Linked DNA regions of Diceros bicornis minor. The protein of the gene in region 3 binds, or shares a complex with, the protein of the main gene of each other region. Links are inferred from orthologs where the notes say so. Each region holds a gene or a part of one and is shown on either strand. Other genes may lie near its edges.

Region 1 (6,847 bases), on a different chromosome or scaffold from region 3:
CTGCAGGTGCTTGGTTTCTCCCCCATCATGAGGTGAACAGTAAAAGGAACGCACACATTTTGCTCACCTGCAGAAAGGTCCCACCCCTGAGACAGTCTGAATGTGACACCGTCCCCAACCATTCAGGATGGAGAGTGATTCCCAAAGTGAGGCAGCTATACGATGATTTTAGGGGCCACCTAGATGAACAGCTTTTATTTATTTTTCATTTTATTTATTTATTTATTTTTTGAGGAAGATTGGCCCTGAGCTAACATCTGTTGCCAATCTTCCTCTTTTCTGTCTTTTTTCTTCCCAAAGCCCCAGTACATAGTTGTATATCTAGTTGTAGGTCCTTCTAGTTCTTCTTTGTGGAACACCACCTCAGCGAGGCTTGATGAGCGGTAAGTAGGTCCGTGCCAGGATCCGAACCAGAGAACCCCAGGCCGCCGAAGCAGAATGCACAAACTTAACTGCTACGCCACTGGCCCAGCCCTAGCTTTTAAATCGACAGTCATGAATTGAAATGTGTGTTGGAAGAAATATAACAACACATCCAACCAAAATTTCATGGTCATTTTTGCTCAGAAGGAGAGTAAGCGGTGAATTGCTTTAAAGAAAAATATTAAGTGAATAATGTACAGCAGGATCACAGAGATGGCAAAACTCACAAAGGTGGTTTGTGTGTACAGTCTGGGAGCCCAAGAAGGTGAGGTATGGAGGGGAAACCTGTCCCGAGGAAAGAGTCTGAATTGCGCTGAATCCCATCTTTACCTGCTGTCTGTCATCTTTTTACTGACGCGTCCATCCCACAAGCGTGTGTTGCCCCCCTGCTGTGTACTAGGTCCTTGCCTGGTGTGGAGGGTGCTATCCCCATGGCGCAGAGTCTTGGGGGCACTGGGAGGGTTGTCCTGGGAAGTGAGCCTCCAGGACGAGTGGGTGGTAGGTGAGGGAGAGACAGAAGCTTTCCAGCCCCAAGGAGCAGCTTGGGGGTGGGGAGGGCTGGAAGAGGGAAGAGCATGGTGGGCTTGAGGAACCTAAAGAGGCCAGTGGGGCAGAGCACAGAGGGCGACAGAGGGAGAGGGCTTGAGATGAGATCAGAATCACTGGGGCTAGATTGGGCTGGATCTATAAGCAATGGGAAAGATGGTGGATGCTGTCATTCATTTAGCCAACATTCATTGCGTTCCTGCCCTGTGCTAGTCATGGAGGGGTATGCAAAGTCGCAGAGCCTTCCCTCTAGGCACCTAGGCCTGGTGGCAGGCTTTTGAACACGTGGATGGACTTTTCATAAGTGCCGTGTCAGAGGTATAAACAAGAGGCCAAGGGAGCACAGAGGGGAGAGGGCTGCCATGTATGAGAAGGCAGTGACATTTGAGCTGGGTTTTGAAGAATGAGTAGGAGTTTAACAGGAGGAAAAGGAAAGGTGGCAGTGAAAACAAGGTGAGTAAAGGCACAGAGGCGTGAAAAAGCCCAGAGGGTCTGGGGAAATGCCGGCAGCTGGAGCCAGAGGGTCAAGTACGCAGAGGTTTTCAGGCTCAAGCCAGAGCTGAGGTTTCGTTCCACAGTGAGGAAGCTGGCAGTGAGGAGCTAGAGACCCAGGTTAGAGCAGCAGAGGAAGATCCCTCTGCCAAGGGGTGTGGTGAGCTTGGGTGACAGGGGAGGACAGCGCTGTCACCACTGCCCAGTGGGGTGTGAAGATGGCCAGGCCTGGGCCACGGCAGGGGCTGGAGGAGGGGACCCTTTGCAGTGTTACAGAAGATGGGGACTGCAGAACATGCCCTCTCTGTGCCCCCGGCCTGGGCTGGCATGGTGCCCGGAACAGCGACCTCTCCTTACAGGGCAGTGGGCTGCCTGCTGCCCTGACTTCGAAGACCAGAGGCCTTTTCCAAAAGAGTAAAGATTCCAGCCAGCTGGGCCCGTGGTCTGTGTCCAAAGCAAACAGGAAGAGACCACAGTGGGCAGGCAGGGCCTCTTTCTTTGTTTGGAGAAGGGATTAGGCCAAGCGGGCTTGTGGATCTTCCTGCTGCAGAGACAGGAGGGGCTGCAGGCCAGTCAGGGACCGAGCGAAACTCGGTGCAGGGGGCGCATGGCCCTGGGTGCCAGCCTACAGGGCACCGTAAAGATGGCCTCCCTTGGCAAATTCTGGCCTTGACGGAGGGAGACTGGGAGCACGTGCTACGGCACCTTGGGTGCCACCGTTCCCTCTCACTGTGCCCAGGCTGGAGCCCTCTCCCGCGCACTCGGCTTCCTGCTGGTGCCCCTTGGCCGTCAGCCCGGGAAGTCCGTGCTGCCCAGACCGGGGCCCCGTGGCGGGTTTCTAGAGAGAAGGAGGGAAATGCCAAGGGCTCAGAGCACCCTCAGTCTGAAGGATGGGCACCCAGGATTGCCCTGAGGCACGCACTCAGGCCCTGGCCTCCCTGGCTGGAGGACAGGCGGCCGTCTTTCCCTCTTGCAGCTGTGCCTGAATGAATTAATCTGTGCATCCGCTCAGTTCATGCCTGTGTTCATTCACCAAGCCCTCACACAGGCTCAGGATGGCAGGCCCAAGCTGGGGCAGGGAGCAGCAGATGAACGAGGTCCTTCACAGCTGACAAGCTGATGGAGCGGTCAGATGTGAGCCCTGAGATGCAGCTGCCCCTAACAGGAGTCCTACCTGTCTGCAGGGGTTGGAGGAGGGCTCAGAGAAGCGGGCAGACAGTTCTCCCAGGGCAAGAGTGGGGGCGGGGACAGGGGCGGAGGTGGGCTAGAAAGACTTCAATGAGAAGTGACTCCTGAACGGACTCATTCATTTATCATTCACCCATTCACCCGTGTGTGCGTTCACTCAACAGATATGTATTGAGCACCTACTGGGTGCCAGGTCCTGTGCCAAGTGCTGGTGAGCAGATACAGCTGAGGACCTGCTTTTCTGGGGCCTGCAGTTGGTGGGGAGACAGTCAGGACTCAAGTCATCACCACACAGACCAAATGGAAAATTACGCTGAGTTATTGGGCTTTGAAGAAGAGGTTTGTGGTGCTGATGGAGCTAATGACCTGGTCAGGGAGGTCGAGGCCTCCTCTCTGAGAAAGACTTGAAGGATGAATAGGAATTAACTAGGGCAAGAAGGGAGAGAAGATGATCCAGGCAGAGGGAACAGCAGGTGCAAAGGTCCTGTGATGGAATGACTGGATGAAGGCCAGAGTGGCTGGGGTACCGTGACAGAGGGGAGCGTGGTGAAAATGAGGCTGGGAAGTGGGCGGGCTGATAGCACCTGAACTTGTGGGTCCTTTTAGAATATTTGGTCTGGATTCTACGAGCAAAAGGAAGGTTTTAAGCGGTGGTCAAAATGATCCTGGTTGTGTGGTGAATAGTTTTGAGGGGGCGCGAGTGGAGGGGGGTGTTGATGAGGGTACAGCAGTGTCCACATAAACAGTGGAGGGGCTTTGACCAAGGACATGGCGAGATCAGGGGATGGGGGAGTTGGATGTGGGGTGAGGGTCAGGCTGTGTCAAGGTCTAGGAAACTGAGCTGGTGGATGGGAAGGGTGACAATGAACATCGTTTTCCTGTACGAATGTATTTTATTGAGTGTGATAAGTAATATCTTCATTTCTACCAAGGAGAGGAAAAGAGGCAGCGGTTGCACTGTGAGCAAGGGATGATGTTTAGTTTCTACTGTGTGGTATTTAATATGTCTTCTCAGTAAATCTTTTCAACACACCCCAGAGGTAAACACGATTGTTTATTTACGAGGAAAGAGGTTGCAGAAAGGTAAAGTTACCTGCCCAAGGTCACGGCTGGGAAGAGGTTAATCCTCCACCAGCCTCCTCTCTTAAAAAAAAAAAAAAAAAGGCAAAACAACTTCTTTGATTCTATGATTCTATTCAGTGAGCTGATAATTGAGCAAACAGTTTCTGTCAAGAAGGGGAAGGGAGGGACCCTGGGAGGACCCCCTGCTCTGGAAGAGTGCACGGGAGGCTGGGACCGCGTCGCCTAGGAGCCCCAGGCGTCCTTCCAGAATCCAGCCACGGGGTGACCCAGCGTGTTCTTGACCCAAACCAGAAAACAACCCTTCCCTTCTCTGCATCTTTCACCTCTTGCTCCTGAGAAGTCCTTCCCTGACTCTAACCTTGATCTTCCTGCTTCTGTCCCCACTGTCTCAGCTCGCAGGCAGATCAACGCCACCTGGCTGCTCCCTCTACCTGCTGGGCCCGCAGCCTGCTCCCTGCCCTTCAGCCCTCGGGCAGACTCCTAGGCAGCCGGCAGCCTGTAACCAGACGCTGTTTGCTCCCAGCAGGCTCCCTGAGCCTCACTCCGCACACTGTTCCTGGGTCTCCTCTCCCCAGCCTGGGTGGAGTGTTCCCCTGCCCAGTCCAGTGACCTTCGCCTGTCTGAGCCCTGGTTAATTTTTGCCCAGTCTTCAGGCTGTGGGGCTCCTCCCCTCGGGGATATAAGCCTGGCCCAAGGCTGCCCCGTTCCCTACCTGTCCTGAACCTCCCCAAGCTCCCTCCCCACCCTCACCATGGCCAAGGGCTTCTACATTTCCAAGACCCTGGGCATCCTGGGCGTCGTCCTGGGCGTGGCAGCCGTGTGCACCATCATTGCTCTGTCGGTGGTGTACTCCCAGGAGAAGAATAAGAATGCTGGCAGCTCCGCTGCAGCCACCACGAGCCACACTACCAGTCCCACCACCACTGCAGCCACCACCTTGGACCAAAGTGAGCCATGGAACCAATACCGCCTACCCACGACACTGGTGCCCGAGTCCTACAGGGTGAAGCTGAGGCCCTACCTCACCCCCAACGAGCAGGGCCTGTACGTCTTCCAGGGCACAAGCACTGTCCGCTTCACCTGCAAGGAGGCCACCGACGTCATCATCATCCACAGCAAGCAGCTCAACTACACCCTCACTCAGGGGCACATGGTGGTCCTGCGCGGCGTGGGCGACGCCCAGCCCCCTGAGATCGACAGAACTGAGCTGGTGGAGCTCACCCAGTACCTGGTGGTGCACCTCAAGGGCACGCTGGCGGAGGGCAGCCTGTACGAGATGGACAGTGAGTTTGAGGGGGAGCTGGCCGATGACCTGGCAGGCTTCTACCGCAGCGAGTACACAGAAGGCAACGTCAAAAAGTGAGTTGGAGCTGGATCTGCTCGGTGGGGGTGGATCCCAGACGCTGAAGCAGAGCCGGAGCCTGAGGGTCAAGGAAAGGCTTAGATTCGAGACCTTTGAACTTTCTGGAGCCCTTGGCTGGCCATTCCATCTGCAGGCTCAGAGGAGAGAAATTTGTCTTCCAGCTAATACGGGGATAGAGCCTGCCAGGACTTTGACCCTGAATCCAGAGGAGCTCTGATCCCCCATAGCCAGCGGGCGTGTCAGGGCATGAGGCTGCCCAGGGGAGGTGGGGAGGGCAGAGTTAGGCCTTCCGTGCACCCCTTCCTCTGCATGCCCAGCAACACCCTAAAACTCCCAGCCTGCCCACCCCCCTGGGGTGCAAGCATTCTGCCGGCACAGCCCCTAACACCCTGGTTTGGGCAGGGTGCTGGCCACGACACAGATGCAGGCTGCAGATGCCCGGAAATCCTTCCCGTGCTTCGACGAGCCATCCATGAAGGCCCAGTTTAACATCACCCTCATCCACCCCAAAGACCTCACAGCCCTGTCCAACATGCTGCCCAAAAGTGAGCGAGTCTGTCCTGGGGCCACACAGCCTGGGGAGGCCGGGACCTGGGGCTGGAGTGCAGGATGCGGGGGGAGGCGGGGTACATCCCCACATACTTGGATGCTCCATGCCCAGGTCCTAGTGTCTCCTTTTCGGAAGACCCTGACTGGAACATTACCGAGTTTGAAAGCACGCCCGTAATGTCCACGTATCTGCTGGCCTTCATCGTGTGCGAGTTCTCGTATGTGGACTCGAGGTCACCCAATGACGTCCTGGTACGGAGCTGGGCCCGCCAGTCCTTCCCTGGGATTGGTCCTGGCCTGAGGGGTATTCCTGTTGATCCTCATCCCTGAATCCCAGCTCTGAGTGATCTTGGGCATGCGTCTTAAGTTCTCTGACCCTCAGTCTCTGCATCTGAAAAATGGGTCCCACCTCCTGAAGGGAGTTCCCAACTCCTGGGTGCCAGACACATGGTGGCTATGACTACTGTTATTCCCCAAAGGCTCCTCCCTATGACTCGAAGCCCCTCAGAGACCCCCAGCTCTCTCTTCTGCTGACCAGGCCTCTGGGTTTAACCTAGTTGCTCCCCCTACCAGCCTGCTGGGCCCTGGGGCTCAGCCCATCTGCACCAGGAGCCTAGAGGGACCCCTGACCTACCTCCATCCTCTTTGCAGATCCGGATCTGGGCTCGGCCTAGTGCAATTGCGGAGGGCCATGGCGATTATGCCCTGAACGTGACAGGCCCCATCCTGAACTTCTTCGCCTCACATTATAATACATCCTACCCACTTGACAAATCCGGTGAGTGAGGGGCCTTGTGCGGTGAGGGGCAGTGGGTGGGGCTCCATAGCTAGAGGCCATCCTGCCAATGGCTGGTATCCCCAGACCAGGTCGCCTTGCCCGACTTCAACGCCGGCGCCATGGAGAACTGGGGGCTGGTGACCTACCGGGAGAGTGCTCTGCTGTTCGACCTGCTGTCCTCCTCCATCAGCAACAAGGAGCGAGTGGTCACTGTGATTGCTCATGAGCTGGCGCACCAGGTAGCCGCCCCATCGTGGGGGGAGTCCAGAGAAAGACACAGAGGGCCCTGGGAGGAGATTGCACAAGTCCTGGCTCTGCGCTTGGCAGCTGAGAAGGGAGGAGGGTCCCACCTGGCAGGGTAGCAGTCACCATGATGTCGGTGAAGTCCCCAGCCCGGGAATGGTGGCCCTGGGTACTGTTAATGA
Region 2 (7,443 bases), on a different chromosome or scaffold from region 3:
TAACAAAATTCACTATTTTAACCATTTTAACCGTACAATTCAGTGGCATTAAGTACATTCAAAATGTTGTACAACCATCACCACTATCTATTTCCAGAACTTTTTTATCATCTGAAACAGAAAGTGTGCTCATTAAACAAATTCCCCACTCCTCCCTCCCCTTAGGCCCTGATAATCACTATGCTACTTTCTGTCTCTATGAATTTGCCTATTCTAGGTATTTCATATAAGTGGAATTATACAATATTTGTCCATTTGTGGACAAATGGCTTCTTTCAGTTAGCATAATGTTTTTAAGGGAGACATTGATTTTTTTGATTGACTTTTTTGTTGTTGTTTTTAGAGCACAGACATTGATTTTTATTGTATGTTAAAGGAAGAATTGCACTTTATTGAAAAAAAGCCAAACAGGACAGATAGTTTAGGATGGAGACTCTTGACTTCTAACCTTAAAATGATCATTATATCCATTATCAATATATGGAGGTTCTTTTTTGTTTTTTTTGTGAGGAAGATCAGCCCTGAACTAACATCCACGCTAATCCTCCTCTTTTTTTGCTGAGGAAGACCAGCCCTGAGCTAATGTCTATTGCCAATCCTCCTCCTTTTTTTCCCTTTTTCTCCCCAAGGCCCCAGTAGGTAGTTGTATGTCATAGTTGCACATCCTTCTAGTTGCTGTATGTGGGACGTGGCCTCAGCATGGCCGGAGAAGCGGTGCGCCGCTGCGCACCCAGGATCCGAACCCGGGCCGCCAGTAGAGGAGCGCGGGCACTCAACTGCTAAACCATGAGGCCGGCCCCCTGGGGAGGTTCTTAATGCACTTAGGCAACCCAGTGTCTTTACACAGGTGTTTTACAGCTAGTGGTTAATTCTCCTGGTATACCCCAGAGGCTTCTCCATATTTTACAGTCAGGATATGAAGACACAGGGATGCTGTGGGGATTAGTTAAATGTGTGTGGCATACTTTGCTGTATAAACTCACTCTCTGGAACTAGTTTTCACTCCCTGCTCTCAACTTCCACGGCTTTTACTGTCAATCCCATTCATTTAGCACTTAGCATGCGCTTGTTAGTTGTCTTTTTCTGTATATGCCCTTGAAGGCAGGAGTCAAGTCTCATCCCTCTTTGTTTTTACAGTCCCGTCCATAATAGCAGCTCTATCAATGTTTGTTGATGTTGGCCTCCCCCTCCCCCTTCCTTTGAAGCAGAGTTGGCAAAGCATAGCTTTAAATTCAAACTCAGTTTAAACAAACTGCAGGGTTTTCAGGGTAAAAACAAAAGGAAGTCTTGCGTGGCAGGAGAGAAGGAACACCTAAGACGCTTAGAAGACCTGGGCAAAGCTGAGGTACCAAAAAACCTGTTGTTTGCCACAGGCTAAGTGACCCACATGCAGCCTGGTCCACCATTAAATTCAGAGCTGTGGTCGCTCTACTCTATCAAAATTCAAATTTGGAGAACAGTAGTGACCAAGGCAGGATTTGAGGAGGGGGTATTAAAGGAATTAGTGTTTTAGGGGTTTCCACTGTATGAAGGCCCTAGTAGCTGTGGGGAAGGCAGGTTGGAAAAGTCTTTTGAAGGCAACTGCAAGGCTGGGGGCAAGCATTCTACAAACACAGCCGCTGGGCCTTTGCTACTAGGATTTGTTTCCCAGCATCTTCTGTAATGGCAAAAGATGGGAAATGGCCTAAATCACCTTTCACTAAGAGAATGAGTAAAAGAATTTTGGCACATCTAAGCAATGGAACACTGAGCTATCATGAAATAGAATGAGGTAAAGGAAGTTATCCTGAGATGGAAGGATATTTAAGAGACATGGTTGAGTAAAGAAAAGCAAGGTGTGCTGTGATTGATGATCCCACTTGTAAGGGGCAAAAATGGAATATATACATGTATGCAAATAATATATTTTGAAGATTGCGTACAGGCATAGAGAGAAAGGGAGAAAGGGACTACGAGAACGGAGTGATGGAGAGGAACTCTTCACTGTGCTCCTTTCAGTACTGTTTTAATTTTATCCTGTGCACATTTTACTTTCTCCATTTTAACAGCATTGTTAATTTTAACAAGTATCATGTTGCCATTGTGATCAGTAGTAGTCTGCAGCCTATACCCATCCTATCTAGCTCTGCTGTCCACCCCTCCAAATAACAAGGCTGGAATAATCTTCCCTTGCTTCACAAACCAAGTGTCTCCGTGTCTTTAACACTCAAAAATCTCACCTTCCCCATGAAAAATCACCCAAATAACTTCACCTCACACATAAGCTGAATCATTCCGAGAATCCATTTTGCCCACGCTCCTGCTTCTGAATCTTTCAGCCGCCCCAGCAGAGCACTCTGCACATTGGGGCTACCCCCCAACACGCCAGTGGCCCACTACTTTTCCTGCACCTGGTTATATTCCGAGACCCTGTTCATGCTGAGATAGTGTTTCTTTTGAGCACACTTCCTCTTGCATGCCTTGATCCATGGACCCTCAGAAGGCTCCTGTTAAGCAGGCTTGAATTGAATGTCACTTTTTCATTGGCCTGAGTTCATTATAATAGCTCTGCCTTGTCAAGGCCTTTACATTTACACTTGCTTCCTCCTTGTAACGTTTTCTAGGAAATATGGATCTGTAGAGAATGGTGGTTTCCATGGTAAATGTTCCCTCATATTTGTTTTCTCAAGTTCACTTCGGAGACACAGCACGATTTCCTCTTTCAGTACCAGCACCACAATAGATTTAGGTTGTGGCGCCACTGCAGAACTGTTTAAAAAAGAAATCTCACCCACCCTGGTTAGAAAAGGGGTAATTTATTCTTCTAACTGCAGGCAGCCAACTTCATATCCACCCCCAAAACTGTAGGAAAAGAGTTGACTTATTAAAGCCACAAAACCTATACACCTTGGATGTAAATGCTTAAAACAGATAAGGAGAATATTTGATTCTCAAACACATGAGACTCTCCACCATGTGACATACACAAGTAGGAACACATACATGTGTGGAGTGCTTTGTGGTTCACAGAGTGTTCACACACAATTCATTTTATTTTCATATACCAGTGTCATTAAGTTAATAGGGCATGCTTATAGCCTTTATTTACAGATAGGAAAACTAAGGCTCAGAGAAGTTAAGCGACTCAACAGAAGTCTCACAACTAGCTGATAAGTGCTCCAGTCTGAAATGAGTTCTTCCTTTAGCTCCAAATTTCATGTTACTCTGCTACCCCTACACTGTTTCTCTGTGCTTTCGTTTCCCAGATGTAAAATGGTAGATTTTCAGTGTCCCAGGATGCTGTTCTCAACCCTCTGTGTTCTTAAGCAGTATCAATTTTTCGCAGCCAGGAAATGTGAACACCACATTGATACTTTACGTACTTCTTCCCCCTCCTGGCCTAATGAATTAAGGGGGGGAAGAAAAGTTACCTATTCTCAGAGGGCCGGATAGTGCCATAAGGGTGTACGGGAGCCAGCCGACACACTGTCGCACTCTTAGGAGACTAAAAAACCGAGCGTCTCATCTTTCTCTTCTCGGCAGTACCTTGGGGGAGAATGGAGAGCTAGACAATAGCCTCTTGTTTAGTTTTATTAATTTTGAGGGCGGGTGGAACAAAAGGAGCCGAACGACGACGCACGTGACCAATCGCAAGCGATTCCTAGACCAGGATTCGCCAACTGGTAGCTGCCAAAGAAAGATGGGTGGGATTTACTCTTCTAGGCCCGCTCCGCCCAGGCCGGCCCCCCCCAGCCCGCCCAAGAGGCGGAGGCTCCGCAGAGCCCCGCCCACGCCACCTCCGCCGCCAGCGCGGCCCGCCACAGGGAGGGGGGTGGGGACGCGGGGGGAGGGGGGAGGAAGAGGGAGGCTAGGGGGAACCGAGGAAGAAAGGAGGGTGTCTCGCAGAGCTATGACCTGGGTGGGGGCCTGCTGGTAATAGGAAGCAAGAGGGGAAGGAAAACCAAGGAGCGCTGCTCCTTCCTGCATTATTTTAAGCAGGCTTTGCTAGAAGCTGCTTTTCAGCATTTCTATTATTTGTTTTTCTTCCTCCCGCTGTGGGGCGGGGAGCTGCATTGGCTCTCCCTCCGCTCTGCTGTTGCCATAGATTATTATTTGTAGTCTTTGCAAAACCCTTCCCTTCCTCCTAGCCAGTCCCTGCGTAGACTCTCATTGCTACTTTAACCGAGTCGTGCCACGTTAGTAATAGGACCAGAGCGAGGTCCCCCCGTTTTCGTCCGAGCGACCGCACTCCGCCGCTCAATTGTTTGAAACTTCCACGCCCCCTGGCCCCGCCTCTCTTCCATCCCCCCTCTTACCCAGGGCCCAGGCAGGCTCCTTCCCTTCTTTCCCCGCCCTCAGCTCCGCCTCCCTCCCTAGTCCACCCCCTCTCCCCGCTCCTGGGCGGTCCTAGCCGCTCACCGCAAGAAGAAAAGCCACCCATTCGTCCCCCTCCCCTACCTCCCATCCTTTGCCCAGGAGCTGCCTTCATCGCAGTCACGCCCCTTCCTTCCGAGGAGCTTTCTGGCTGCCCAAGCTGGAGACCCCCTGATTTATTCCTCCATCTCTGCTCTCTTTCGCCTCATCTTCTCTTAGTTCTCACCTCCCCCTCCACCCCCACCTCCAGTCTGTCTCGCCTCCGACCATCCGCTGCTCCACCCTCCGGCCCGGTATCCTGCCTGTCCGCTGCCACCAAGAAGAGCCCGGACGGAGCAGTGAGGAGGGGAGCAGCCGGGAGTTGGGGCTTCTCCCCTGCCCATCCCTGGCCTCCGGCCCGGGCCCGAAGCCGCTTGAGCGAGCGGAGAGTCGTCACCTTGTCTTCGTTGCCTTCAGGGGTAGGAGACGCGTGGTTACTTTTCGCGGGGAACTGGGGCAGGAATCCATGGTGGCGTGAACTTGATCATGCCCTCGGCGTGAGTGAGTCGATCTAGATGCGTGTGGGGATGTCCCTGTGTTGTACTTTCTTTGCAGCTGGTCTTGAGTTTTCTGGGATGTGCAGCAAGTTAAATTGGTTAAAGAGTGTGTACTCCTTTTCTGTCCTACGGAGATGCTAGTGGGTACCACTACTTGATGGTACGTTTACATCTTCCCTCCTGGAGTCCTTGTAGATCTCTAGGTAATTAAGCACAAAAGGAATTAAAGACCCGAGGGAACTTGAGGTCTACATTTAGCTCAGCAGGAATGTCCTTGCTTATCTCCAATTGCTAGATGCGTTCCTCCTAAATGCTTAGGATTGGGGTGGGGGCTCACACTCCCCTCCCCCGGGGCCCGTGAATTCTTGAAGTCTTAAAGTCTGAGAGTAATCTACAGCGTTACACTCTTTTTGGTGGTGTGTTTGTGTGTGTGTGTGTGTGTGTGTGTGGTGATGTGGAGGCATTTGTCCCTTTTCTGGTTTATAGATGTTAATAACTAGTTTTGCGGGATCATGCACACGTCTGGAGGGTCCCAAGCCTGGGTCACTGTATGTAGGTGCTTCAGCAGCAAGATAACTTGTCAATATATGAAAATGAAGAGAAGGCAAAGTGAGAGAGGGAAAGTGACAGTCTTTGTAGACTGTGAGCAGTCCCTGGTAAATTGACATTAATAATAATATAATAATAATTTGCAGCAAGGGACTAAATACAATTAAATGAGAGAGGAAAGGGAAAGTTTGTGAGAAACAGCATTTCCAATCTTTAGCATGTATTTTAGAATTTTCTGACACCTTGAAGTGTTCAACTTAGTTCTCCCCCTCCCCCCATGAAGAGTAGAAGTTGGGAGGCAGTTGAAAACTTTTTTTTAATGTAACTCTCTTCTCTCATTCAGAGAGGAATTAGTCACCATAATCTTCAATAATGGAGGGCTAAGGGTATTTAAGTCTCCTTGAACTAGGCTTTGTGAAAAGTCCTTTCTTTGGCCAGCTTTTGTGAAGCCTTCTTGGTTAGACCTTTCAGCACCCTCATTTAGTAGCTAAGAATAGTTTGAAACACTATTTTGGACTCGGGATAAATCTTCACTCATCTCCCACCTATCTCCAATTGGGCAAGCATGGCAAACTTATAAGAACAGTGGTGTTCAAAGACCTGTTACCAAGATGTCCCCCATCCATTGCTTATTTGGAAACAAATTATTTACTTATATTTTTAAATAAGTTTGTTGATTGATTTTAATGGGGGAAAGGAAAGCAGAAAGGGAGAAAAGGAACGTTACAGGGTGACAATTTTAAAGGCTATCGTGTTTCAGATCAGCTGGGAGGGAAAAGTTGTCCTGACCAAACTACATTTTATAACTGGCCTGGGACATTTTAATAGCCAGGTGGTTGTAGAGTAGTTGCATCTATTTACAGATGATAACTCAGGTTCCAGCTATTCTGTATGGATTTATCTGGTGTCATTTACCAACACTTTCTGGCACTACATCATACTTAATTTTAAGATACTTCTTTCTTGGGAAAAGTCTATGGCTCCTTAAAATTGAAAGTGCTTTTTCTAACTTCATAGTCTCGATATGAAGTAAAGCTCTGACCATGCTCGTGTGTAGAGTAACTTGTACGTGAAAGTTGTGGATCTGTTTACTTATTTAAAATATTTTAGAAGGGAATTTTAAAATTCATATTCAATACTGTTTTGGATTTGGAAATTGAAATCTCATTGCTGGTTTATGAAGTAGGAGTTATTAGACTAGTGCATAACCAAGGCATTTTGTGGAGTTGCTTTTTCTGAAGTTTTATAAAGAACGGATCAGACTCTTTCTAGAATGCCTTAAGAACAGTCTATTCAGAAAGCAGAGGGATGGATGCTATGACCTTGAGGTCCCATTGAGTGCCAGAATTCTAAGTGGGTACATCTGCTTCTATGCCTCTCCTAAGAGCCCTCTCCCAGGGCCTGCGCCTTCTTTAAAAGGGTGTCTTTGTAATTAAGCAGCCCTTCTCCCCCATCCCCCTTTCTTCCTTTGATCCAGCTTTTTAAGGCCTTTTTTACATTTGGAGACAAGAGGAGTTTCTCACACTCTCCTACTCCCCTCTTAAGGTTTCTTTTCCTTTCCCCCTCAAAAAAGTCCCCTGAAGTTCTCAGGATGGTTAGAACTTGTTCTGTTTTGTTGGGGAGGGGGTGTTACCAACAAGGAGGAGTAGAGGATATAGTCCCTCTTGGGAAATGCTTGTGACCAGGTAGCCTCCTCCATGGAGACTGAGCATTTGGAATGCATGAGAACAGTCTATTCTTGGGGACTGTCTGGAAGAAATTGTCCTTTGCACCCATTAAGCCCAGCTTAAACACACTGAAAGGGGTGGAGAGAGGTGTGTGTGGTCGTGGCTGAGCCTTTTAGGATAGTAAATGGGTAAATGTTCCCAAATCTTCTATTACATCACCTCTTTCCCCCATGGATTCAGTGGGTTTGGAGATCTGCTTGACAAGTTAATTAGCTTGGGCCTAAACCAATTTGTTTAGAATTGTGCTCCATTGATTTCCTGTCCCCAGGAATTTTTGT
Region 3 (6,431 bases):
GAGGAGGATGCTTGTACTCTGTGCTCCGAGCACTGAGGGAGCTCTGACAGCCCTGTGTTCTTCAGAGGAACTAAAGGAAACCGGGTCGGGCCTAGGAACCTCCACTGAGCCCACGACTGGGGGTGCTTGTCTGCTGTCCTGTACCTTTTTTAACCAAAATAAAGATTTCCCTCTTCTTGCCATACCCTTGGCTGTCTGGTGCCACCTTTACTTTGGGCCCAGGGGTGGGGCCTGTGATGAGGGTGCAGAAGAACATCTGGCTCACCCTCACTGCCAGCTTTGTTCCAGCTGGTCAGTGCTGTTCTGAAGATTTAAAAAAAAGATGCATGACAAAGCCAGAGGTGACACAGGAGGAGTGGCCAGCGTCCTCTTCACTCTGCCCCTCCAGAACTGGTCTCAGTTCCAGAGACCTTCAGGCCTTAGCTGACCTCTGAACTCTCTCAGGTCCCAGCCCAGGCTGGGAGAGAGGGTTTAACTCCAGGCTAGGACTGTCACACCCCTGAACTGAGCCCAGCCCAGGGTAACAATCTCATGGAAACCTTCCCTCTCCCCGGCTGCCACCGCACATGGAGATACGCAGAGTGCTAAGAGCTAAAAAATCATCATAGTGGCCATTTAGCAAGGTCTGGCCAAGTGCCAGGCCCATTTTCTCACCTAAACCTGTGAGGAAGGTGATGTCAGCCTTTTTACAGATGAGGGAACTGAGGCTCAAGGAGGGCGCAGGAATTGCTCCAGGTCTCCCAGCCGAGAGAGCAGCAGGATTTGAACCTGATCTCTGCCCTGGCCTCTGACCCTTCTGCATTACCCAAGGAATGAATACAGCTGCTTCAGGACGAGGGGCTCTCAGAGGGAGAAACCCTAAGGTTAGAGAATGTCCTTCATAGGCAGCAGGGGCTTAGACAAGATCTGTGCTAGCCTCCTTGTTGTAGTGATGGGAAACTGAGGCCCAGAAGCAGGAAGGGACCTGCCCAAGGCCTGATAACAGAGCTGCCATGCAGTCTCAGCCTGACATTCCATTCTCTTTCCAAAAATTCCACAATATGTCCTAGACCAGACTGGTCTAGGAGATGTAGGATACTCAAAACAGCAGTGCCTTGAGGGGAATAAGACTCAGGATAGCTGAATCACTTAAAAGTAGTCTAATATCCCCTCCCAAAGGTAATTAGTAGAGTGAGCTCTTAGCTGGATAATTGAACCCTTGTTCACAACTAACCAGGGGGAGAAGGTGCCATAGCTTCCTCCAGTCACCTGTTTAATTTGATCATTCCAAGACTGAAAAATTTCCTAGGAAGTTCTTTCTGGAATCTAACCAGAGTCCCTGCTGCTACAGTCAGAGCCCTGTCCTCTGTTCTCAGGGGAGATAGATAGCAACTGGTTGCTGTCTTCTCTGTGCCACAACCATTCTAAGCCTGTTATTACCAGTCAAGAAGGATTGGTTGGGGGCCGGCCCAGTGGCATAGCAGTTAAGTTCTTGCATTCTGCTTTGGTGGCCTGGGGTTCGCTGGTTCTGATCCTGGGCGTGGACCTACTCACTGCTCATCAAGCCATGTTGAGGCGGTGTCCCGTATAGAAGAGCTACAACTCCACAACTATGATATACAACTATGTACTGGGGCTTTGGGGAGAAAAAAAGAAAAAGAGGAAGATTGGCAACAGATGGTAGCACAGGGCCAATCGTCCTCAAAAAAAAAAAAAACGACAGATTGGTTGTCTATGGGACCAGAGGCCTTGCGCTTCCTGGTAGGATGGATGTTATAGAGAAGGGTAGGGAGGTCGCAGGCAGGATAAGGAAAGCCCCTGTGGGCTGCAGCCCCAGCTCCTGTCCTGCTGACTCAGGCAGCTGACTCTGGAACTCTGTGCCCTGCCAGGGCCTGCTGCCTCCTGCCTGCCTGGTCTCCTGGGCTTGGGAAATGGAGGCCTGGAGGCAAAGGGAGGTGCCTGAGACAGGAACTGAGTCAGGATCGACAGGCCAGAGCTGGTAGGAGGTGTCAGGCAGCCTGGCTCCCAGATTCACCCCTGAGCTTCTGCAGGGGAGAGAGCGGAGGGAAGGGGCTTCTTTTCTGTTGCTCAGGGCTGTGCTGAGGGCATGGAGCTCGTGGCGTGAACTACCACCAGGTCTCCTGCCTTGAGTGGTAGGAAGAGAATGCAACCTAGAGACAGAAGCAACTCCAAAATTCCTGGGCCTGCCAGACCCTGCCCTCTAGGTTTCTGGTATCCTGGGATCTCCAGCTTTCTCCCAGGACTTGGGAAAGCCTGGGCTGGGTGACTAGTACAAAGGAAGGTCCTTGAGGGCCCTGGGCCTGCATAGGTCAGAGGAATGTCTGAGAGACAGGGAGGAGACAGTGCTGAGTGAGCGCATCTGACTGTTCATTCATCTTCTCGCCCCTGTGGAAACCCAGCTGGGCAGGGTCTGGGCTTTGGCTGAGGCCTACCCAGCTCCATGTTAGTGCTCTGAGTGCATGTGTTTAAACCAGTAAAGTTGGTTGGATTTTTTTCACATGATAATAATAGTTCCCATCCACTCTAAGTGCTTTCCATCAACTTATTTAATCCTCACAACAAGCCCTATTTTACACTTAAGAAAACTGAGACTCACAGAGCTTAAGTCACTTGGCCAAGGCCACAAGAACTTGTAAGAATTGAACCCAGGCAATCTGACTCCAAAGATACTTGGCTATTTTGTCTCTCAGAAAAATAATACATATTCACCCTTGATAACTTGAAGAGAATAGGAAAATCAAAAGGAAAAAAAAATCATAGTCTCACTATGTGGAAATATGCTCTGTGAGTTGGTTATTTTAGTGTACTTCCTTTCCATCATTTTCTGTGACAGTGATCTGATTTGAGCAAAGCCTTTGGGGTGTCAAGCCTAAAATCCCTTCTGCTTCCTTGGAAAAGCTGTAGCATCAGCCCAGAAATGTCCCTACTTTTCCTTCAAAGAGGCAGATCTCATCTTTGGGCCTGAGTTCTGGCCTAAGCCTCCCTCCAGGAGGGGAGGGTGGGTGTTCAGACACCAAGAGCAACCCAGGGAGGGACAGGCCTGTGAAATGGTCCTGGCTCCAGGATTAAGCTGGCTGGATCCAGTGAGGTGAGCCCCACCCCTGAGCCCCATCTGAGCTTTGGCTAGGGGTGGGGCAGATAAGCAGGAACCCACTCTCATAGGTGCAGTACCACCACCTTCGGGTGAAACTCCGCTGACAGGAGGACAGCGCCCCAGCGATCAGGGACAGATGGTTGGCAACAGAGAAGTTTCCATCTCTGAGGCCTCTGCCAGGGGTCAGAGGTGGGGTCATGGTCAAAGGGAAGGGACAGGGAAACTTGTGAGAGGCAGGCCGTAGGAGACAGCACTCAGCTGGGACTGCTGCCCCATAAAACAAAATGGTATGTGTCACCGCCACCTCCTTTTCCTCAGTCCTGTCTTTCTCCTCAGGTTGCTCGTGTCCCCCCTGGGGAACCAAACTGGGCTGAGCACCCAGGTGGCCTGCTTTCAGCCTCTGACAGAGGGCCGGCTGAGTCAGGCAGGAAAGTGGGACAGCCAGCAAGCCGGGCCCCCACCCTCTGTGAGCCCCACTGATACATGATGGCAGGCAGCTTGAAGCGGGCAGGTGACCAGGCGTGGAGAGCTAGAGGATAAGTCCTCAAACAAGTGGCAACAGGCCACCAACTTGAAAGGGAAAATTGTGCTGTGCTGCGATGGGGAAGGTGTCCAACAAACCTACTGGGTGACTAATTACAAAGGCTGGGCTGGAGCGTCAGAGGCCGCTCGTTAAACTCCTCATTAAGTGGCACCCAGAAGCTGCCACCTGCGCAGTCTGGGAGCTCAGAAGGGACAGGACCCTGAGGGGGAGTAAGGACTGGGGGATGGAACCATTTTAGGTAGACTCTGAAGAAGCTTGGATTTCACTTCTAAATCCAGCCTGGAGCTCACAAATCAGAGACCTCGATGGGAGAGAGACCAAAGGAAGTAGGATGCAGGGGAACTTTAGCTGTATGACCTTGAGCAAATCTCATCCCTCTCTGAGCCTTAGTATTCCCATCTCTAAAGTGGGGGTAGTAGCCACAGTCCAGCCCACCTCACAGGGATGTAGTAGGGATTAAATTAGATCATGGATACGAAAGTGCTTGGGAAACTGTACAGCCCTGCCTAAACATAAATTAGCTCACCTGGACCAAGCAGGGAAACGTACATGGCAGGATTAGGAACCCATCCTCCTGCACCTGGCTTTATGGGCTCTGCCTAGGCTGAAGCAGCCAGGTGGCTGAAGCCATCCTTAGCCCCTGGAAGGACACCGTGAAGGAGGATCTGATTTGAGAAACTGGCGCAGCTGCCTAACGTGGGCACCCATGTAATAGAAGCCCTGAACAAGAGGGGGCAGCCTGGAGCCTGGAAAGGTGCCTGTGCAGGTGGGGCCAACGCCCAGATTTCTCCTGCTGACTGTCCTGATGACTCACCCCCACATCCCAGCCCTTTTACCTTTAAGGAAGAGCCGGAAAGGGTGTGGGGAGAAGAGGCGAGGGAGGCAGGTCCTGGGCCCCAGTCCCGCCCTCTGCCCCTCCCCACCCTTCTGTGGGCCAGGCCATCCAGCCAAAAGGCAGGCAGAGAGCAAGAGAGGCACAGAGTCCGGCATTGGTCCCGAGGCAGCCAGTTAGCCCGCCGCCTGTCTGTCTGTCCCCAGAGCCATGCAGAGAGCCAGTCTGATCCAGAAGGCCAAGTTGGCAGAGCAGGCCGAACGCTATGAGGACATGGCAGCCTTCATGAAGAGCGCCGTGGAAAAGGGTGAGGAGCTATCCTGCGAAGAGCGAAACCTGCTCTCAGTGGCCTACAAGAATGTGGTGGGTGGCCAGAGGGCTGCCTGGAGAGTCCTGTCCAGTATCGAGCAGAAAGGCAATGAGGAGGGCTCGGAAGAGAAGGGCCCGGAGGTGCGAGAGTACCGGGAGAAGGTGGAGACCGAGCTCCGGGGCGTGTGTGACACCGTGCTGAGCCTGCTGGACACCCACCTCATCAAGAAGGCCGGTGATGCTGAAAGCCGGGTCTTCTACCTGAAAATGAAGGGCGACTACTACCGCTACCTGGCCGAGGTGGCCACCGGTGACAACAAGAAGCGCATCATTGACTCAGCCCGGTCGGCCTACCAGGAGGCCATGGACATCAGCAAGAAGGAGATGCCGCCCACCAACCCCATCCGTCTGGGCCTGGCCCTGAACTTTTCTGTCTTCCACTACGAGATCGCCAACAGCCCTGAGGAGGCCATCTCACTGGCCAAGACCACCTTCGACGAGGCCATGGCTGACCTGCACACCCTCAGCGAGGACTCCTACAAAGACAGCACCCTCATCATGCAGCTGCTGCGAGACAACCTGACACTGTGGACGGCCGACAACGCTGGGGAAGAGGGCGGCGAGGCTCCCGAGGAGCCCCAGAGCTGAGCCAAGCCTGCAACCCTCCCGGCCCTGCCCTGCCCTCTCCAGTCCCCCACCCCCCTGCAGAGAGGACTAGTATGGGGTGGGAGGCCCAACCCTTCTCCCCAAATGCTCTGCTCCAGCTCAGAAAGGCTCCATAGAGAGGGCTCAGCAGAGCTGAGGTCACCTGGAGCCAGAGGACCCCACTCTTCTTGCAGCTGTGGGGTGCTCCTAACCACTGGGCATCCCACCCACCTCTGCTCTCTGCACCCCCTTCCTCGAGACCTCCACCCGTGAACCGGGCCACTTCTTCCCGCCTCTTGACTCCCTCCTGCTCCTGCCGCGTCTGGATCTTAGGAATTGAGGAGTGTCCCACCCTTGTGGCTGAGAACTGGACTGTGTGGCAGAGGCTGGACATGGGTGTGTGCGTGTGTGACTGTGTGTGAGAGCGAGACTGAGAATGAGAGGGAAAGCATGTCTGCTGGGTATGACCATGTTTCCTTTCAATAAAGTTCCCCTGTGACACTCCTCCTGTCTTTTCCAGTTATTGGCAGAGGACTGGGACTGGGACTGGGATTGGTGTATGATTTACAAACCCTGACTTTGGACCTCTGATTCAGGGCCCTGACCTCCCATGAGGTTGGCTCAGTGACCCGCAGGTAAGACTCAGGGGCCAGGGACTCCAGGTGAGAGGTTGGGGGTCAAGCTCTCTCCATCAGGATGGTCTCAAGCCGACTGGTCTGGTCCCGGGAGGGTCGGGTGAGGCCCAAAGCGGCTCTAAGTCTCCTCCGAGCTGGGCGGAAAGCTGAAGAGCTCAGATCTGAGGGGACAGGAAACCAATGAAGTCTCAGGTGTGAGGTCTGAGGGCAGGGCCGCACGGACACGCTGTAGTGAGCAGCAGTGAGCACCCCAGAATTGAAAGCCGGGAATAGTCCCGTCAGGTGCTCAGATCCGAGCGGAGGGGAGTAGGCTCTGCGGCGGGGGTATGAAGCCGCCATTAAAAGCCCAGATCTGAGGAGGGGAACGCCCCC
Region 4 (7,124 bases), on a different chromosome or scaffold from region 3:
AAGTGAAAGTGCCTGTTTAAAGCACAGTGAGGAGGCCAGTGTGGCACAATAGAGAGAAGGAGTAATAGGAGATGGGGTTAGAGAGGTGAACAGGGCAGAGGAGGGAGGGGCAGATGTGTGGGGCCTTGTAGACCCTGTAAGAAATTTAGCTTTACTCTGAGTCAGTGGAGAAATGATTGGAGAGTTTTGAGCAGAGGAGTGACGTGGTCTAACTCATATTTTAACAGACTCACTGTGGACACTATGTGGTGAAATTGCTGAGGGGAGTAAGGACAGCAGCAGGGAGGCAAGCTAGGCGATGCAAGAGATGATGGTGGCTTGGACTAGGGAATTAACAGTGGGGATGAGAAAAGATGAGATGTGGTCAGATTCTGGCTATATTTTGAAGGTAGAGCCAAGCAGATTGAAGACAGATTGGATGTAGAATATGAGAAAAAGTGAGGAGTCAGCAATGTCCCCAAAGATTGGAGCCTGAACAACTGAAGAATAGAATTGCAAAGCCCAATACTTTCAGGAGGGAGGAAGAGGTTTGGAGGGGAAGATCAAATCAGTTCTGGACGTGTTGAGTTTCAGGTATTCATTAGACACTGGAAGTACAAGTTTGCAGTTCTAAGATCTAGAAACACAAATTTGGGAGTCATCAGCACAAAGATAGTCTCCATAGGTAACGTTTAAATCTGGTGGGAACCATGAGACTGGATGAGATCACCTATCAACAGATAAAAAATGGAAGTGGTCCAGGGATTGAGCCATGGACACTGCAGTGGTAAGAAGTTGGAGAGATGAGGAGTAACCAGCAGGGAAGCACTATATATTCACAAATAATCTCTCAGGGTGGGTCATTCTTGTGTATTTCTACATCTACCATGGACTATTACCTTCTTTGTGTTTGGTCACATCATCAGGGCCCAGCTCAGAGAGGGATCTTCTTAAGGTCAAAAGTCTCCATGACTAAAGTGTAAATGATTGACAGGTTTATCTTTCTCAGGAGATATAAAATGAAAGAAAAGTCAGTTGAGTAAACCAAACCTCTATTTGATGGGATGTTGCAAGGAAAGAGGTCATTTTACACCAGAGAAAACTTTTTGTGTCCCTAGCATCTGCAGCTCACTATAGTGATGATGGTACTACCCTCATCAGTATTAACCATTGGGAAGCCACTGGGAAAGAGAATCAAGCTCTTGGGGAAGCATCAGCACTCTTTTGGGCTGTAAGGTCCTAGAGGCCAGGGAATGCATGGGGCCCAAGCACAACTCATAATGCCTGAGCAGGTGCACACTGCCTTCTGTTAGGCAGGGAGAAGGCAAGAAGCGGGCTGTGTACCTTCCTGACACTGTCTTTAAACTTAGCTTCTGCCCCACCGCACTCCTGGTTCCCCTTCCACCCAATCACTCCTTTTCTGTCTCTATTACCATTTCCTCTTCTTTCTCTCAAGTTCTAGCCTAATGCCCCAGCCTCCTTTTCCACAAAAAGTGTGAGGTCAAGAACATGGCAGAAATGGAGAGTTTAGTTCTTTCCTCTCAGGTCAACGTGGTTCCACGAGCAGCCTGGTATCTCTTTCTATTTTCCTTTCACTTCTCATCCCCCCACCCAGTTAGCAAACCAGAGAGTGCAAAAGCAGGAACTTTTCACACTAGGTCTCTTCTGCCCAGATCTCTACACCCACAGCTGTCTCCTCAGCTAAGAAAGGTGATAGGAAAATGACAATGACACCAATAGGACAATGGGACAGAATCATGGACAGGCAACTCATGATAGAAGAAACATGAATAGCCATTCAACAGATGAAAATAATGTTAACCCTACAACAAAACGCAATTTAAAACAACAATGAGATACCATTTTACCTATCAAGGAGGCAAGGATTCTAATTCCCAGGATTGACGAGAGTAAAGGCATGCGCAGACACTACTGCCAGGAGTGTAAAGTCCTGCACTGCTCTCTGAAGAATGACTTGGCAACACTAAGGTGCCGAAAGCTTTAAGAATAAGTCTATCCTTTGACTCTTTGATTCAGTGGTTTCTCTTCTAAAAATTTAGCCCGAGGAAATAATTAGACAACCATGTAAATATGTATGTTCGAGAATATTCATTGCAGCATAGTTGATCATATTTTTAAAGATTGAGATCCACCTAAATGCCCTACAATAGGAAATTGGTTTCAATTAACTGGGGTTCACCATACAGTGGAATACTAGTCAACCATGAAGAATGATGTTGCCTCATGTGTCTCCTGCTATGATGCATTGAGAAGGACAGAACATCACGTCTCTGGTATTCCTGGCCAAAAATGCATAAACTGAAGAAACATCAGACCTACCTAAATTTAGGATAGTCTACAAAAGAACTGACCTGTATTCTTCAAAAATGTCAATATAATGAAAGACAAAGTAAGTCTAAGGAGCTTATTAAAGGAAACTGAAAACATGACAACTAAATGCAATGTGTGATCCTGGATTAGATCCTAGACCAAGAAAAAAAAATCATTATAAAGGACATTATGAGGCAATTGGCAAATTTTGAATATAGACTGTAGATTAGGTAATAGTATTGTATCAATCTAAGTTTCCTGATTTTGATAGTTGTACTGTGGTTATGTAAAAGAATGTTCTTGGGGCCAGCCCCGTGGCATAGTGGTTTCAGTTCAGCCCACTCTGCTTCAGCAGCCTGAGGTTGGCAGGGTTCAGATCCCAGGCATGGACCTACACCATTCATCAGCCATGCTGAGGCATATAAAGTGGAGGAAGATTGGCACAGATGTTAGCTCAGGGCTAATCTTCCTCAAGCAACAAAAAAAAGAGGAAGATTGGCAACAGATGTTAGCTCAGGGCTAATCTTCCTCAGCAAAAAAAAAAAAAGTTCTTGTTCTCAAGAAATTCACACTGATATGTTTACCAATAAAGGGACGTCTTATGTGCAATTTACTCTCAAATGGTTCAGAAAAAAATACGAATGTGTATTTAGAGAAATAATGATGAAGCAAATGTGGTCAAATGATATCAATTGGTGAATCGGAGTGAAGAGTATCCTGGGATTATTTTTAGTGTTCTTGCCCCTTTTCTGTGAGTCTAAAATTATTTCGAAATAAAAAGTTTAAAAATAAAAATAAAATACAAAAAAGAATGGTGCTGGCAAAGTATATTTGTCGGCAGGGGAAGGTGCTCAGGATACACCAGGCTGTGGCTGTGGGTGCGTCAATGCTGGGGCTGTGCACAGCTGCTGCTGACACCTCCAGCCACCCTGGACTCTCAGTTGTCTGTGCTACTAGAGGAACTCAGTGTGAGGCTGACCCCAGAGCTGTCCTGGCTTCACTCAAGAAGGTAGGATGAGTCAGGGCAATGAATTCTCTTTTGTGATTTTATTTACTCCAGTTTTGAATTCAATGACTGGCATTCCTTGCATCTCAGGGACCTCTGCGGTGGAGGGAGGGAGACATGCGGGGAGGACAACCTACCCAAATGCAGTGTTTGCTACAGATCATCCAGACTGCAAAGTTCAGTGTAGACAATGTTCATTTATCATTGATGATGATCATATACATTCCCCTCAGAGAGAAGGCCAAGATTTCCCCCAAAACCAGCCCAGCGTCTTACCCATTCCCTAAAAGGAGAAAACTAAGTCCCCAGCAAGGGCCAAGGCAAAGCCCAGAAGTCCCCTGGGTTCCCTCTGCCAAGATCAGTGGTTTCAATTTAGGGAAAGTTGCAGATTCTCTAAGAAGCGTCTGTACTGACCTCACAAAACAAGCATCCTCTCCTGGGAAGAGGAATAGGAAGTCTCTCGTCACCCCACACCTCTGTTTCCAGGTCCTGACCCTCCTGGGGTATGGGGCAGCCACCTTGCAATTCCCTTGTCTAGAAAGGAGAGACCACATCAACAAGCAGAAGGGCTGAGACTGTCCCCAGAGCCCCCACCAGCCCAGTTCTCCCCTCCTATCACCTGCCCTCCAGCCACACTGTGCTACTCCCCCCCCACCTCCCCAGGGGTTGTCAGGGACAGAAAGCCCCTCCCTCATCCCCCTCAATGTTCCTCCACTCCTCCCCCCATTACTAGGGTGTCCAGGACATTGTGTGACTCAGGAAACAGCTCAGACGTGAGGCTTGCAGCAGGCCGAGGAGGAGGAAGAAGGGGCCGTGGGAGCAGAGGAGGAGGCTCCTGCCTCAGTGAGGGCTCTGAGGGTCCCTGCATGAGGAGGCAGAGAAGATCTGGGCTAGGGGCAGGGGCTCGGGAATGCAGCCCCCTTCACTGCTGCTGCTGCTTCTGTTGCTGTGTCGCTCAGTCGCCAAGGCAAGAGGTGAGGCATGGGGTGGGAGAGGTGGGGAGACCCAACTTCCCCAGGAGGATGTCCAGTGGTTTGGGGGCAGAGGGCCAAGTTCCATGTTTTGAGGCAACACTGGATGGAGGAGATTCTCATCCCCCAAATGGAGACAGCCTGCAGGAAGAGACGGCTCTGCTGCTGGAGTTGCACAAACCAAGGTTTTGGGCCTGGTGCCAGGGGTGGTGACTGTTGGGGGGATGGGCAAGAGGGTGCCCACCTCCAGGGAGAACCCAGTGGGCCTGGAGCTGGGGGACAGCAGGCTCTTGCAATCACGTTTAGGAGGGGAAGAGGAAAAAGACTGACCACCTGCTAGGGGAAGAGGTGAGAGGGGAGCAGGAAATGGAGACAAGGGAAGGTCAACAGCCCACCAAGTCCCTTTCCTGGTCCAGCTGTCCCCACCCCCCAGACGGCTCAATGCTGGGCCCTTCCGAGAGGAAATCCCTTCAATTTCTCAGCCAGTCAACTCCCAGGAGTCTCCTCAGCCCCCCTCCTAATCCTTGTTGTCTTGCTTCCGAGGGATGGAGCCTGAGGCTGGACTTGGGAGGCCAGAGAATAAACAGGAAAGAGGGGTGGGGATCAGTAACTGAGAGGCCTGGGATCTAGGGCCTGGGGTGTGAGCGCCACGTGGGGACTAGGAAGAAGGGTGTGGAGCGATGGTGGTTTGGAGCACGTGTGTGGGGCTGCTGCAAGCAGGTCCCTCCAGAGCACCCAGAGGAGTGAAGGTGGAGCACAATGCTCCCTGCTCCCATCTCATCCCCATCTCCACCCCTAGGGCTGCAGTGTGGGAGTTTCCCAGAACCCTGTGCCAACGGAGGCACCTGCCTGAGCCTATTTCAGGGGCAAGGGACCTGCCAGTGAGTGTGCCTCATGGGAGTAGGAGACTGGAGAGAAAGGGGGAGGGAGGCCAGGGGAGGAAATGGGAAGAAAGGAAAAAGGGAGGAGGTGGCAAAGATGAAGGGAAACAAATGAAGGCAAAGGAGGGAGGTGGGAGAAAAGGCGAAGTGGAGCCAGTGATGTGAGTTTTCCTCTCTCCTCCCCTGCCCAGGTGTGCGCCTGGCTTCCTGGGTGAGACATGCGAGTTTCCCGACCCCTGCCAGGATGCTCAGCTCTGCCAGAATGGGGGCAGCTGCAAAGCCCTGCTTCCCACCCTCCCAGGCTCCCCCAGCGCTCCCTCTCCCTCGGCCCCCAGCTTCTTCTGCACCTGCCCCTTTGGCTTCACTGGCGAGAGGTGCCAGGCCCAGCTCAAGGACCCCTGTTCTTCCTTCTGTTCCAAAATGGGCCGCTGCCACATCCAGGCCTCAGGCCTCCCACAGTGCTTCTGCCAGCCTGGGTGGACAGGTGAGCACTGAAGGGGTGAGGAGGAGGGGACAGGCAGGAGCAATACGCTGGGCTGTGGGTTAGGAAAGATGAAACTGGAGCCTGTGAGACTGAGACCCTTTGAGGACAGAAGCCATGAGAATCAAGAAGCTGATCCTTGGCGACCCATCTACCCAGGACTGACGTTCACCAGCATGGTTGTACTGATTGTTAAAATGTTAGAGTATTTCCAAACCAGTTGGTAAATTGCTACTGCCATAGCCTCCTTAGTATACCGCCCTGACCCCTTTCCCAGCCCCTCAAACTCCTTGCCACCCAGTAGCTAGGGAGTTAATGCCTGGCACACCAGGGGTCTCTACATTCTGAGCATCTGAATGGCCTCTGTTTTGAGTGCTAGGAGCCCATAATATCACCTGGGAAGACTGCGGTGCTGGCAGATGTGATGGGGGGAGGGATCTGACCCAAAGAGAAGAAAGGGTGCCCATCTCAGGAGGAGGGGTTCAGCCCTGGGACAAGAGATCAGGACATGTGATGGGCAGGGCATGCTACCCTGAGGAAGCGGTCAGGGATGCAGTGAGGCCCTGGAGAGGAAGGCTCGATAGGACCGGACCAGGATGGAGAGGGCTGGACTAGACAGCCACATGGGTAAGAAAGTGCTTGGAATGTGGGTGCCTCTGTGAGGCTTCTCAAACTTGCCTAGGCACAGCCATCACCTGGAAAGCCTTAAAAATACTGGTGCCTCCATCTCAGAGACTCTGATTTAGTGGGTCTGGGGTGGGCTAAGGACATGGAGACTTTTTTAACTGCCAGGTAATTCTGAGGTAACCAGGCCTGAGACTGCGTGTGAGAGAGTGTGTGTGACAAGAAGAAGGATGGGCAATGGCAACTTTCCAGGCCTTGTGCTTCAGAGTAGGGGCCCTGGGGCAGCCTCCTCCCTGACTCCAGTGCCAGCTCTGCCACTGACTAGACATGTGACCTTGCATAACATATTTAAGCTCTCTGGGTCCCCGGTTGTCAGTTGACATCCACACTTCATACGGCTGTTGAGAGGAGGGCAGGGGGTGATGCTCAGGAAGTGCTCACTTAGCTCAGTCCCTGATACACAGCTTGTGTGTAGCAAATGGTGGCGGCGCCCCTCGCCACCGCTACTGCCCTTCCTACTAGTGCCTTTCCCACTGGTGCACACGGTGGTGAAGTGAGTCTCCTTATCATTATCCGGACCATGACATCCACCTAAAGATCAGGAAATCAGGATGAGAGAGGCCAGACCACTGCCCAAGGGCACACAACCAGTTGTGGCACAGCAAGATGCTAACTAAGTCTCCCGCCTACAGAGATCGGATGCTTTTCACCCCCCACCAAGGTCACCACAGAAGGGACCCTGTGTCCCAGATTTTTCCAGGCAGGGCCCATTTGCCGTACTCCCACCAACAGCTACATGTCCTATTTTCAGTTTGGAAAATATGGTTACTCCAGATATAACCCTCCCAAGG

Evidence for each region.
Region 1: the proteins of SFN (region 3) and ANPEP are in contact, whole or in part, in a crystal structure (PDB 7AEW), measured with the Homo sapiens proteins. The link is inferred for Diceros bicornis minor from reciprocal best matches to the Homo sapiens genes SFN and ANPEP. Residues at the interface, in NP_006133.1 of Homo sapiens: Asn42, Ser45, Val46, Lys49, Arg56, Lys122, Arg129, Tyr130, Gly171, Leu174, Asn175, Val178, Glu182, Leu222, Asn226, Leu229, Trp230; in NP_001141.2 of Homo sapiens: Ala60, Ser61, Ala62, Thr63, Thr64, Leu65, Asp66.
Region 2: the proteins of SFN (region 3) and AMOT are in contact, whole or in part, in a crystal structure (PDB 7NPB), measured with the Homo sapiens proteins. The link is inferred for Diceros bicornis minor from reciprocal best matches to the Homo sapiens genes SFN and AMOT. Residues at the interface, in NP_006133.1 of Homo sapiens: Val46, Lys49, Asn50, Arg56, Arg60, Lys122, Arg129, Tyr130, Gly171, Leu174, Asn175, Val178, Tyr181, Glu182, Asp215, Leu222, Asp225, Asn226, Leu229, Trp230; in NP_001106962.1 of Homo sapiens: Val171, Arg172, Ser173, Leu174, Ser175, Glu176, Arg177, Leu178, Met179.
Region 4: the proteins of SFN (region 3) and NOTCH4 are in contact, whole or in part, in a crystal structure (PDB 7OR3), measured with the Homo sapiens proteins. The link is inferred for Diceros bicornis minor from reciprocal best matches to the Homo sapiens genes SFN and NOTCH4. Residues at the interface, in NP_006133.1 of Homo sapiens: Lys49, Arg56, Arg60, Lys122, Arg129, Tyr130, Glu133, Gly171, Leu174, Asn175, Val178, Glu182, Leu218, Gln221, Leu222, Asp225, Asn226, Leu229, Trp230; in NP_004548.3 of Homo sapiens: Arg1914, Arg1915, Phe1916, Ser1917, Ala1918, Gly1919, Arg1921.

What each region holds. Positions count from the first base shown.
Region 1 is NC_080744.1:93,474,556-93,481,402, reverse strand, and holds the start of ANPEP (aminopeptidase N), read left to right. Parts: upstream 1-3,837; 5' UTR 3,838-4,483; coding exon 4,484-5,091; intron 5,092-5,497; coding exon 5,498-5,640; intron 5,641-5,756; coding exon 5,757-5,896; intron 5,897-6,295; coding exon 6,296-6,422; intron 6,423-6,506; coding exon 6,507-6,661; intron 6,662-6,847. UniProt on the Homo sapiens protein: Broad specificity aminopeptidase which plays a role in the final digestion of peptides generated from hydrolysis of proteins by gastric and pancreatic proteases.
Region 2 is NC_080781.1:104,579,345-104,586,787, reverse strand, and holds the start of AMOT (angiomotin), read left to right. Parts: upstream 1-4,421; 5' UTR 4,422-4,811; intron 4,812-7,443.
Region 3 is NC_080752.1:42,625,618-42,632,048, forward strand, and holds SFN (14-3-3 protein sigma), read left to right. Parts: upstream 1-4,592; 5' UTR 4,593-4,680; coding exon 4,681-5,427; 3' UTR 5,428-5,928; downstream 5,929-6,431. UniProt on the Homo sapiens protein: Adapter protein implicated in the regulation of a large spectrum of both general and specialized signaling pathways. Binds to a large number of partners, usually by recognition of a phosphoserine or phosphothreonine motif.
Region 4 is NC_080753.1:32,672,609-32,679,732, forward strand, and holds the start of NOTCH4 (neurogenic locus notch homolog protein 4), read left to right. Parts: upstream 1-4,122; 5' UTR 4,123-4,226; coding exon 4,227-4,290; intron 4,291-5,086; coding exon 5,087-5,168; intron 5,169-5,359; coding exon 5,360-5,652; intron 5,653-7,124. UniProt on the Homo sapiens protein: Functions as a receptor for membrane-bound ligands Jagged1, Jagged2 and Delta1 to regulate cell-fate determination.